3 linked regions of the Ovis aries genome follow. The protein of the gene in region 2 interacts with the protein of the main gene of each other region in a biochemical or structural test. Links are inferred from orthologs where the notes say so. Each region holds a gene or a part of one and is shown on either strand. Other genes may lie near its edges. The genes, in order: PRKCA, HMGA1 and PRMT6.

Region 1 (4,100 bases), on a different chromosome or scaffold from region 2:
GCCTCTTGTGTCTCCTGCACTGGCAGGAGTTCTTGACCACTAGTCCCACCCGGGAAGCCCCGCCCCCTTCCACTCGGGCCCCGCCAAAAGTGGAGAAGTTTCTGACCAGACTAGCCGGCAGGTGCAATGTTCTTAAGCTCCAAGAACATTGGTCGGAAACATTGTGAGTGAGCGCTGGAAGTACACGCCCTTTAAGGGCGGGTCAATCGCTTACCCCTGTCAAAACAAAAGACATTCCTACCAACAGGCGTTCAACTGAGCAATCTTAAAAGAAATGGAACCCTACTTGGCCTGTGTACCATAAGACAGCATAGATCTTAGGAAAGGTTTCTTCCTTCCTTCCATCTCTAGTTCTTTTCCTATCTTCTTGAAGAATTCCACATATTCCTTTCCATACATGCGTTAATTTCTGATCTGAGCGAATCTGACAACGAAATAAAACAATAATGAAACGTTTCCCTCATGTATTTTAGCATCCTCGGGGCAGAGCTAACGAGTATTCAGCAAGTGACTAGTCGGTCCGGCCCCACGCGCGTGCTTCGCCGGGCCGTGCCAGCCACGCTTTCACGGGGCAGTTTCACTCGGCAGTTTGCAAACGAACTGGCTGCGCTCGGCACCTGCCGGTGGTCATCAGCCTTAGGCTGCAAAACCGTGTCTAAATGGAGGCTCTGGGCTGGTAAAGTCAAGAAGACCTGATCACCCACGCTGTAAGCGTGGTACCCAACGGGTAACGGGGTGAACAGCCAGGACAGGTCCTCCAGCCGTCCCGAGACATCAGACGCGTGTACCCGGCGCGGGGCCGCCCGGCTCCGGGGCCGCAGGCGGCACAGCGTGCCGGCCCCGAGGGGCTGAGCCTCCGAGCGGCGCGGGCGTCGGTCCCGGGACGGCGCTGGGTCCTGGAAGGGGGCGCGGCCGGGGGCCGGCCCGGGACGCGGGGCTGCGCCTGGGGCGGGAGGAGCGGAGCGCGGGAGGGAGGAGCCCGGCAAACCCGGGGGAACGGGAGAGGGCGCTTCCCGGGCGGCTCGGGGGCCGCGGGGCCGCCGGCTCCCTCCGCGCGCGCCCCCGCCCTCCCGTGCGTCCCCGCCCCCTGCGCGCGCCCGCGCCGGCCCTCCCGCGCGCGCCCCCGCCCTCCCGTGCGTCCCCGCCCCCTGCGCGCGCCCGCGCCGGCCCTCCCGCGCGCCCCCGCCCCGCCCGCCGGGCCGCGCTCGGGCATGCGCGGTGGGCGGGCCGCCCCCGCCGCCCGACTAGGAAGCGCGAGCGCCGGCGCCGCCGTCAGAGCCGAGCGGCCCCAGCGAGCTCGCGGCTCCGCTCCGCTCCGCGCCCGCCCGGCTCCCGGCCGCCCGCGCCCCCCGCGGCCGGAGGCGGCGAGGGACCATGGCTGACGTCTTCCCGGCCGCCGAGCCGGCGGCGCCGCAGGACGTGGCCAACCGCTTCGCGCGCAAAGGGGCGCTGAGGCAGAAGAACGTGCACGAGGTGAAGAACCACCGCTTCATCGCGCGCTTCTTCAAGCAGCCCACCTTCTGCAGCCACTGCACCGACTTCATCTGGTGGGTGCGCGCCGGCCCTGCAGCGCCCGCGCCCGGCGGGGCCCCGCGCGGCGCCGCCGCCTCCCCGGGCCGGAGGCTCGGAGCGCGGCCCCCGAGGCTGCCCGGGCCCCGCCGCGCGCGCCGGCCTCGCCCCGCGCCGGGCCCGCGAGCCGGGGGGAGCGGCGGCAAACTGTTGAGGCGGGCGCGGGGAGGGCGGCGGCCGGCCGGCCGGCGGGGCGGGCGCGCGGGCGGCCTCTGCAGCGGACCCGGGCCTGCCCGGGGCTGCCGGCGGGCTGCGGCCGCCGAGCCCAGGTAACTTGCAGGCAGCGGGGGCCCCCGGGCCGCGCTTTCCGCGCCGCGGCTGCCGGACAGGCTGCAGGGCCTCCGATCCCGCCAAGCCGGAGGGGATCGCGCGTGTGCTTGTTTCCTGGGGAGACGCTGATGACTTTGACTGACTTTCGAAAGGTTGTGACCCCTCTCCTCCCGTTGTTTTAAGAAAGCTAAACTAGGGCAGTTCAGATGCCTCACTCGGAGAAGCACTCGCTTTTTTCCTCTTACGTTGCCAGACAACCTCCACGCATTCTGTCACTTGCTGCTGTGTGCAGGAAGCCCCCGGCCCCCCAAGTCGGAGCCGGCTGGGCCTGCTTCAGTCCCCTCCGCCGGGGGGAGCGGCGCCGGGCAGCTAACTGCCCAGCCGCTGTGTGGCTCCTGGATCTTGCGGGGCTCTTGGGAGAACGAACGCTGCTTGAATGCATCACACGGGGAAACCGTCTCCAAGGGCGAGTCCCGCAAACGTGCTAATTAATAGGTACTTAACTTCTCCCTTAAGCTCTATCTGAACCCGTCACACCTGGGGGAATCTTTAAGGGAAAGCCCCACAGATGTGCTCATAAGGTGCTTAACGTCTTCGCTTCTTTTTAGAAATCCGCTCCAAAGCACACTTAGGTAAAAAGCACAGCCACCTCTCCGAATTATTTCCGAGGTATAGTCAGCGCCTGAAGCGGTTGAGCTCCTAGGCCAATGTAGACAAGACTGCTTAAGGTCAGTTCTTGGAGCCTCAAGGCAGAGAGATTGTATTTAGTTAAGGGAAGGTCTTCGGCCTCACGTGTCAGCTGTGAAATTCCATTAAAACAGAACAGACTGCCGATTACTTTTGCAGGACGAGGGTGAGGTAGGAAAGAGGCTTGCAATCTATACATCCAGGCTTGCTGAAGACTTCCCGCTGCCATTTGTTGGCCCCTGTGAACTGATGTGGCCACCAGGCATAGCACGAAGTGGAAATGAAGACCTTGTCCTCTTCTTCCCCATAGTCAATACTCTTCTCCACTTGGCTGCAGAGCAACCCCTCGGAAGTTCCAGGAAAATACTCCCCAGCACGGTCTAGCCGTGGTTTTAATTTTTCAATTTTCTTCTCTTCTCTGCTTCCCTGGTTTACAACTCAAATATTAAAGCACTGGTATTTTAAAACTGTTTGCATTTAAATTTTTTGGGGGGGTGGGGAGTGACTAAGTTAATTATAAAGATATGTGAAGTGCTTTGTAAATTTAAAATGCTATGTAAAGCAAGAGATTATGACTCATAACCTTCTGAGAATTTTAATGTAGTTCATCCTAGTTGAAATGGTGTTTGCAATTTAATGTCCATGTCGGAGTTCTCTGCTTAGAGAGTAAATTCTCTAAAGTAATTTACAAGAGCAATATAGCTTCTGAATGTGCTTGAATGCTGTTGGTTCACAGTAAAATAAGATCATCATCTCACATGCAAACGATAGGGATGACACTGTAAAATCTGGCTCCTTTAAGCCAAAATTTAGTGTTAAGAGTGATGCTATGTGGTGATCTCTAGGTAGATAATACTTCATAACAAATGAGGAAGCCACTTGTTTGTTTTTGGGGTGAAAAGATTTTCAGTTGGTCTTTAGGGACCAAATTCAGCCATCTTTGTGGATTTGGTTTTTTAACCATAAACTTCTTCTTGTTGCTTGAATATTGTAGCCAACAACTTTATAGTCATGTTCTTAAATTAAGTACTGATAAAATGTTAGAAAAAACAAAAACAAAAGCCTGGCAAGAACCTTGAATATGTTGAAATGAGTTCAGTGAGACTTTGGAGGCCAGATCTTTTCAAAGTTGACTTGACTACACTCTGAGCTGTTTAGGCATGTTTTCCTGTCAAATCATTGGGTTTCATGTGCAAATCTTTACCTTTGTAGAATGCTTTGTCATATAACTGGCTTAAGATGTGGTGTCAACAGAAAATAAGAAATTTTTCTTGTTTGTTTTTCAGGGGGTTTGGGAAACAAGGCTTCCAGTGCCAAGGTAAGCTGCCATGTTGGATTTTATTTTCAAGTACAACAAGAAGTAAGCATTCCAGACAAGAACAGTGTTTCCAGTCATCTTTTATTTGATAAAAAAGCAAAAACACATTTAGATGTTTTCAAAATGTGAGGGCTGTAAACTTGGGCCTGGGGGAAGAACACCATTTGGTATTTTCTGGTACTCTGCGTATAGACCTGCCTTTTTCTTCAGGGGAATAAAACCTTCCTGTAACTTTTTTTTTTTTTTTTTTTTGCCG
Region 2 (3,277 bases):
GAGCCCCCTGATCCACCCCTCTCCAAACCACGGGGTCTTGATTGCCCAGGGCCCCACAGCCTGCTGCTCCCCCAGCACCCTTCCCTCCAGCCCGGCTCCTAAGCCCTGCAGAGCCACCAGCCTCCACTGGACCCACCTCCTCGGCTTTCAGTCCTTTGTGGGATGAGCCTACCTACCAGTCACTCCCAGGAACTAATGAGAATGTTTCTTCCTGGGGTGAAAGGGTGGCTGGGATTACCAGGTAGGGCTTTGCCCTTCCACGGGCACCTTTCTCTAGCCCTCCCAGACATAGCTTTGGAGCTGTTCCCATGGTGACAGGGCCTAATGTATATTCAGTATATATATTTTGTAAATAAAATGTTTTGTGGCTAGGGGTATAGGTGATTTCTTCAAAAGGGGCTTACCTTCCCTGTAGTCAACTCCAGTGCCTTTTCTTTTTCACTCAACTCACTAGAGATCCCTGGTTTCTAACATTCCCTATTCTAGGCACCCACCACAGAAAAGACTCAGTCCAGAAAAGGATATTTTTTTATTCAAGTAACTGCAAATAGGAAACCAGAGGGGAGCCCCAGGCTGGGACAAATAATGGCTACCTCCTCCCTGACAGAGCAGGTGGAGAAGGTGGCCCCTACACCTGACAGTCAACACGGGCCCCCTCCCCGCCCGCCCTCACTCTGCTGCAGCATCCTAGGGGCAGGACCCCACCTTCCCTGGGACTCGGGGAGTTGGTACCCAGCCTGCTTTGCTCCAGACCCCTTCCCCTAAGAGCTTCTTGGAGGAGGGGGACGTGGGCAGAACAGGAGGCGATGAGGATGGACATTTGGCGCTGGTAGCAGCAGCAACGACGGATGTCTAAGAATGAAACATTTAACAAAAAACAACACAACTGTCCAGAGGTAGTTTGTGAACAGAGGAAAGATGGAACCAGAACCTTGGGGGTTGGGGAGGAGCAGAAGGGTGGGAGTGGGCGAGACTAGCTCCTTGTTATTAGTGCCCCGAGGGAAGGGAGGAGGGGAACTGAGGCCTGGAGCGGAAGCAGACAGGGGTGGGGAGTGGCTCCAGCTCAAGAGGCTGCTGCAGGGAGCCCAGGCCTCCTGGGCCTCACCTGGATAAAGGGGACTCTCTCCATCATTGCAATGGGATTCCAGGGTGAGGGCAAGGTGGGCTAGAGCCTGCCTAGAGCTGGGAGGGGGCTTACATTCCTACCTTCCTTCCTGAGCCCCCAAGAGGGTGGCCCCACCTAGTGTGGGAACAAGGCAAGGCGGGAAGGAGAGGGGGTGGTGGGGGGCATCTCGGGGCAGTCACCCCTCTCCAGTGGCGGCACCTGCTGCCGCTAGTACAGTGAAGTGGGGCGTGTCCAAATGAGAATGAGATGGGGCTTGCGCCCCTCTTAAGGCCAGGGGAGCCCTCCCAGGCCCCTTATCGGGAAGCCAGAGGGGAGAGGCAGAGGGGATCCCCAAACCGAGAGCCCAGCCAGCAAGGCCCCCACCACGCAGGGAGCAGGGATGCGGCAGCGCAGGAGTGGCTAAGTGGAAGTCAGCTTTGTTGGGGAGGGCGGCTGGGTGAAGGGTCGCTGGGACCTGAAATCAAAGGGAGTGGCTCCTCACTCGGGCCCGGGGACCCTGTGGCAGCTGGTCTGCAGTGTAGTGTGGCGGGGAGGGCGCAGGTAGAGGGTGGGGGGGGGCCTGGGGGCAGGGGGGCAGGAGCAGAGCGGAGCTGTCCAGTCCCAGAAGGAAACTGCTCCTCGGGAGGGAGCAGGCGGCGGTCACTGCTCCTCCTCTGAGGACTCCTGCGAGATGCCCTCCTCTTCCTCCTTCTCCTGCAGGGTAGGCAGGGCCATCAAGAGAATGCCAGGCCCGCTCCCTCCTCCGCTGCCGCCCCCAGAGGCCAAGCTCACCACCCCCCCACGCCCGGCCTCTCCAGAAGGGGGATGAGTCAGGGCTGAGTGTGTGGGTGACTCAGCAACCTCCACGGCCCAGTTTCATTCATAAAAAAGGAAGAATTTAAAGGGAGGGAAAAAAAAAAAACCACACACGCTGGTCTCACACACAGCCAGGCCCCTCAGCCCCCAGGGGCAGGGGGCTCCTGGCAGAGCACAGGGCAACCCTGGGCTCAAGTTGGCAAGGAAGTGACTGGTCCTGGGGTGGGAGACAGCAGCCAGGGAGAGAAGGGGAGGGCAGGGGTGGCTGGAGGCTGTGAGCCCCCTCCACTGAGGGTGCCAGGTGGCCTCAGCGGCCCGCAGGGGCAGCTGCTAGGCGGTGGAGTGGCCACGGCCGCAGGCTGACCCCAGGCCAGGGCGGGGAGCGAGGGGAAGTGTGTGCCGGCCGGGGCTCACTCACTGGGCGGGAATGTCGGGACACCACACAGGGCCCCCGTGCCAGGCACAAACTCCAAAACAACCCGTTTCCTGTTACTCACTCTTGGGGCCCTGCCAGCACCCCAAGCCCCCCTCAGCCGGTGGTGGCTCAGCTCACACAGCTCGAGGAACAAGCCACAAGGAGGACAGGTTGCAGGGGCCCAGCCTGCAGATATCTGGGCGCAGCCCACCAGCCACCACTCCCAGCTGCCTGGGGGCCCAGATGGGGGTGGGGCCCCTCAGCTCCCACCCAGCAGGCTATGACCCAGCCCCGTTCTGGAGCTGAGCTCCTCTACTGCTGCTGCTTAAACCCCTTCTTCTTCATTACTACAATGGGGGAGTGGGGCGGGGTGGGGAGATGCTACCATATGACCTCAAGGTCCACCCTATAAGTTCTGACTCTGAACCAGAAGCAGGGGAAGGAAAAGATAAGAACCACCCCCAGTAAGGCAGGGCAGGGAGTCTAGCCTGGTTTGTACCCGGGACCCTACACTTCTCACGGACACAGCTCTTCAGAAGCCCTAGGCTGAGTGCCAGGAGTCCGGGGGCCCTGGACAAACCCTTTCCCTCCCTAGGCCTGGGTGAAAACGTGAAGTCCCACCATTGCTGGCCCTGCAGGTCAGGGAGAGCCATCTCCCTCTGTGGGCGCACAGGATGGAGCATCACTCACTCTTCAACAGTCTCCCCAGAAGAACCAAGCTGCCTCTGCCCCAGTCACCTACCAGTTTTTTGGGTCTGCCCCTTGGTTTTCTCCCTGGAGTTGTGGTGGTTTTCTAGATGGTCAGAAAAAAGATCCACTAAGTCAAAAATGTCCCCGATGGTGCCCACCCAATGACCAGTGCCCCAGATGGTGAGGGACAGCAGGGAGGGGCGGCCCAGGACTCCCACCCCAGCAGGCCCACCCGAGTCCAGCTGGTGATG
Region 3 (4,355 bases), on a different chromosome or scaffold from region 2:
GAATTTGGAAGAATGCTTTCAAGTACTCATACAACAAACAGATTGTGGTACGAAGTTAAAATAAACAGTGGAATTCACTCAAAACTGTACACTAAAATGCTAATAAATGTTCAACATAAAATATAGTTGACTTTAACATAAGGAACCAATTTGTAACTCTAGTTTAAACCAGGCCTAAATTGCTATGACTGTACCATTTGCATAAGCTAACTATCCTAATACCAACAGTGGTGACAACTATAAATGTATTGCAAGTCAAGGATCTTGTAAAGCTGATGATTTTGTACATGTATAGTTCCCTTACTAATGGCAGATCTCATGTGTTGATACCAAATTTTAGCAAATTAGTTATATTTAAGTATATTAATAAGTGATGAATAAAGAAGAAAAAACTGTTGCAACAGAGCTGCTTCAGATCAGATTTTCACACCTGCTTTCTATTAGCATACTAAAGCTACTAGTGTAAAGAAACCATACATTAAGCATAGTTGATTATCCTTAAGCTATGCTCTGTAGGGGTTATAACACCATTTTTAAGAACAATACTAAAAAGGCAAAAGTTATAACTCAAACAGTACACAAGACTTCTTACTTCATCTATAAAAATAGAGAATGCCAGTGCTTTATTTGCCAGAGATGAGGAGGGAAACATGGGTAAAATAAATTTGATAACATAACTCACATTACAAATGATTTTCCTAAATTCACAACTTTCACATTTAGCTGACCTAAATAAACAGAAAACAAACAAAACACTAACAAAAACATTTTCACTTGATGTTAGTAGGCCAAATCACATGATCCCCCTGAATGAGGGATTTTAATTCTCGAGCTGGGAAAATATTTTCCTTACTTAAATAATTTACCCAAGGTGATAAATAAACCCTTGGACCAAGTTCAGAAGAAATCGCCTCTACTAGTTTGTTATAAAGCACACAAAATTTTTACTATGGAACTTACATGAAATTTTCTTGGTTAAATCTTAACAGTAAAGACAAAAAGTCCATACGACTTTACTGTATTTCAGGTCTTTTTCTCCAACACGTACCCTTCTAGATTTCTTAGGTATGCTGTACTAGTACGAATGAAGTTTATTTCACTTAATGGAGTAAGGTGTCATCAACTTTAGCATCTTAAGGAAGTAGGTGTTATTTAAACTTTACCCTCATTCACCTCCCCCACGTTATCAGTAGTAAAACTTATTAAAAAAAGAGGACAAAATACTGTAGTCTAGAGGCACCTGGGAAGAGAGGGAATTCAGAAAATGAGAGAATATGGCTCTGGAGTGATATCCCGTCTTATTGGAAATACATGGAGTCTAACTATAAACCCTTTTTCCCTTTCCCTGGCTTTAGACTTAGGGTGTGAGGTGTCAGGGAAGTGAATGGAACCTTCACAAACTGATAATTTCATACCCTTTTCCCCCTTTAATTTACAAGAAACAAAAGAAATAGAAAAAGGAGTGCTTGGTACCACGTGCTTTTGAGGTTTAACGGGCCCTTAATAAACACGCTGTTTCGGTCGTGTCAGGGGATCGAAAACACTTTTTAATAAATATCGCCAGAAGAATCTCCACGAAGCGAGACTGAAGTCACTCTCCCTCCCCAGGAGCCCTGGGGTAAAGGGAGACGGAAGATAACGCTCCCTACTTGCACGTGAAATCTCCTTTACTCCGCCGACCAACCCTCCGCCTCTTCCGTGCCTGGCTTCCTTGGGAGGTAGCTGGGAGAGAAGACCACGCTCAGTCCTCCATGGCAAAGTCTTTGGTCTTTTCCTCCTGGTCGCCCACTTTGTAGCGCAACAGCACCCGCAGGTGACGGTGGTGGTCCTGGGAGGGCAGCAGCGTGATCTCTCCGGAAACATCCGTGTCTTGCTCCACTTGCACCGGCTCGTTCAGGTAGAGGAGCGCCTGCTTCCAGTGCGTGACGGGGTGAAAAGGCGAGGTGGAGAGCACCACGGGTTTCTCCGAGTCCCCTCCGGGGAAGGTCACCTGGAACCAGATGGCAAAGCCGTGCAAGGGAGCCGAGCCGTAGCAGCTGAAGCGGAAGCGACCGCCCACCCCGGCCTCCAGCTCCTGCTCCAGGCCGGCGCGGGCCAGCTCTAGCCGAGCAAAGCACTGCGGCCGGGCCAGCACATCCTCGCCGGAGAGGCCTTGCACCACGATTTCTGAGTGGCCCATGAGGCAGCGCGTGGCGAAGCTCTCCAGGCAGCTCATGTCCACGCCGTAGAGTTGCTTCATCTGGCTCCAGAAGCTTAGGCGCAACTCCAGCATCTGGTCGCTGATGGGCGCCACGAAGAGCTCGGCGGAAGCCGGCAGGAGAAGACCGCCCTCCTTCAGCCACTTGGTCCGCGCGTGGAGCACAGAGCTCAGCATGGACTCGTGCAGAAGTCCGCAGCCCATCCACTCGCTCACGATGGCATCCACCTGCTCCGGCAACTCCACCGTCTCCACCGGTCCCGGCAGGACGTGCACCCGGTCCTCCAGCCCGTTGAGCCGCACCACTTCCCGGGCCTGTTGCCAGATGTCGCTGGCCTCCACCGCGTACACGCGCCGGGCCCCTGCCTGGGCACAGAAGATGCTGAGGATGCCGGTGCCCGCGCCCACGTCCAGCACGGTCTTGCCTCTCAGCGCTGCCCAGTTCCGCAGGATGCCCAGGCGGTAGGCATCGGTGCGGACGCGGTCGGCAATCATCTCCTCGTGGACCGATACGTCCGAGTAGCACTGGTAGTACAGCTGGTCCCGCTCCCGCCTAGTCCTCCGGGGTCGCGGCACAGCCACCTCCAACTCTCCGCCATCTTCCTCTTCAGTTCCCTCCCCTCCTTCGCCGCCGCCCCCCGACTCAAGCTTTCTTCTCTTGGGCTGCGACATCTTGGCGGCTTGGGCCGACTCCCGGCGTGCGTTGCGCGCCGCGCCTCGGGCTCCAGGAAGCGGGGCCTTATGGTAGTTGTAGTGCGCGCTCGTGCCTCCCGGTTTTGGCAGGTCGCCGGGCGAATGTCAGCCAGATACCAATGATCCGTACTCTGCTCTTTTTCTTGCTCCTTTGGTGTCTTGGAATCCCTTTTCCATCCCCTGCACTCACATTCCATGGTTCTCTACGTTCCTTCTCCTTCCCTTAGATTGTTCAGTCTCTTTTGCTTTCACGCCCTTCGTGACGTGGACACGCCCACTTAAAACTGAAAATCCATGTTTTGTTTTGTCCAACTCCCAGATTTTTTATTATATAGAATTTTCTGGGCGGCACCGTGCACACCCTACTGCCTCATCTGGACAGTTGCAACTCTTAAAGCTCTCCAAAAGTGGAGATTTGGAAAATGCACTACGTGTTTTTCTTCTCCGTTTTCAGGGGAGGTAGAATGCAAAAGGGAGAAGGCAGCGTCACCCCACTCCAGTACCCTTGCCTGGAAAATCCCATGGACGGAGAAGCCTGGTAGGCTGCAGTCCATGGGGTCGCTAGGAGTTGGACACAACTGAGCGACTTCACTTTCAATTTTCACTTTCATGCATTGGAGAAGGAAATGGCAACCCACTCCAGTATTCTTGCCTGGAGAATCCCAGGGACTGGGGAGCCTGGTAGGCTACTGTCTATGGGGTCGCACAGAGTCAGACACGACTGAAGCGACTTAGCAGCAGAATGCAAAAGTGTAAATGAAACAAAGTAAAAACCCAACAGTGTAAAACCCTGGTCTGGATTCCAGTGGGACCACAAATGAACGGAATGATTAGGGCAAGCTGTGTAAGTACTCTTGCCTTCAATTACCCATGCACCTTCCAGCAACAAAGAATCTTCAAGGCAGTTGAAAATTAAGTTTCTGTTCTCTATTTTAGGAGATTAGTTATTTGGCTCTTAGTTCTGCCCGGTAATTCTGTGACTCATTCAAGGCTTAAATCTTGGAAACTTCCAGTCTGAGGAATAGTTGAAAAGCAACTGTTGCTAGGTGTATTCTGGTAGCTGATTTTTTTCCCTCCATAGGTAACGGAATCCTTCATCACCTGTGATCATTTCTCTGCTTCAACTCACTTTTTCCTGCCTGTTTCCATGTCTGGGCTAGATTGGTAATCCTTTTTTCCTCTTCTGTGTTCCTTTTAGTCAACTATCAGCTGTTAACCTCTTCCCTCTGAGATGTTCATAGTAGAAATAAATGCATTTAAAAATACTTGTGATGTCTATATGGATGTCTGTGTTCTTCACAAGTAAGGTGAGAAAAAAATTTTCTCCTAGCTTAAAAAAAAATAACATGAAGAAAATTGACTTTTATTTTCTTGTAGTCTCAAACTGTTTCTTTTTAACAATGGGCCTGTATTCCTTATCTGGGGGAAGGTTCCTTCAGCCCATTCTCTATTAATCTGTCATTGA

What was found.
Region 1: of the proteins of HMGA1 (region 2) and PRKCA, one has a biochemical effect on the other in vitro, tested with the Homo sapiens proteins (2 studies listed by BioGRID). The link is inferred for Ovis aries from reciprocal best matches to the Homo sapiens genes HMGA1 and PRKCA.
Region 3: of the proteins of HMGA1 (region 2) and PRMT6, one has a biochemical effect on the other in vitro, tested with the Homo sapiens proteins (2 studies listed by BioGRID, with this or other methods). The link is inferred for Ovis aries from reciprocal best matches to the Homo sapiens genes HMGA1 and PRMT6.

What each region holds. Positions count from the first base shown.
Region 1 is NC_056064.1:61,844,172-61,848,271, forward strand, and holds the start of PRKCA (protein kinase C alpha type), read left to right. Parts: upstream 1-1,271; 5' UTR 1,272-1,374; coding exon 1,375-1,547; intron 1,548-3,812; coding exon 3,813-3,844; intron 3,845-4,100. UniProt on the Homo sapiens protein: Calcium-activated, phospholipid- and diacylglycerol (DAG)-dependent serine/threonine-protein kinase that is involved in positive and negative regulation of cell proliferation, apoptosis, differentiation, migration and adhesion, tumorigenesis, cardiac hypertrophy, angiogenesis, platelet function and inflammation, by directly phosphorylating targets such as RAF1, BCL2, CSPG4, TNNT2/CTNT, or activating signaling cascade involving MAPK1/3 (ERK1/2) and RAP1GAP.
Region 2 is NC_056073.1:8,467,074-8,470,350, reverse strand, and holds the end of HMGA1 (high mobility group protein HMG-I/HMG-Y), read right to left. Parts: intron 3,130-3,277; coding exon 3,079-3,129; intron 1,820-3,078; coding exon 1,766-1,819; 3' UTR 511-1,765; downstream 1-510. UniProt on the Homo sapiens protein: HMG-I/Y bind preferentially to the minor groove of A+T rich regions in double-stranded DNA. It is suggested that these proteins could function in nucleosome phasing and in the 3'-end processing of mRNA transcripts.
Region 3 is NC_056054.1:84,387,309-84,391,663, reverse strand, and holds PRMT6 (protein arginine N-methyltransferase 6), read right to left. Parts: upstream 2,893-4,355; 5' UTR 2,870-2,892; coding exon 1,742-2,869; 3' UTR 593-1,741; downstream 1-592. UniProt on the Homo sapiens protein: Arginine methyltransferase that can catalyze the formation of both omega-N monomethylarginine (MMA) and asymmetrical dimethylarginine (aDMA), with a strong preference for the formation of aDMA.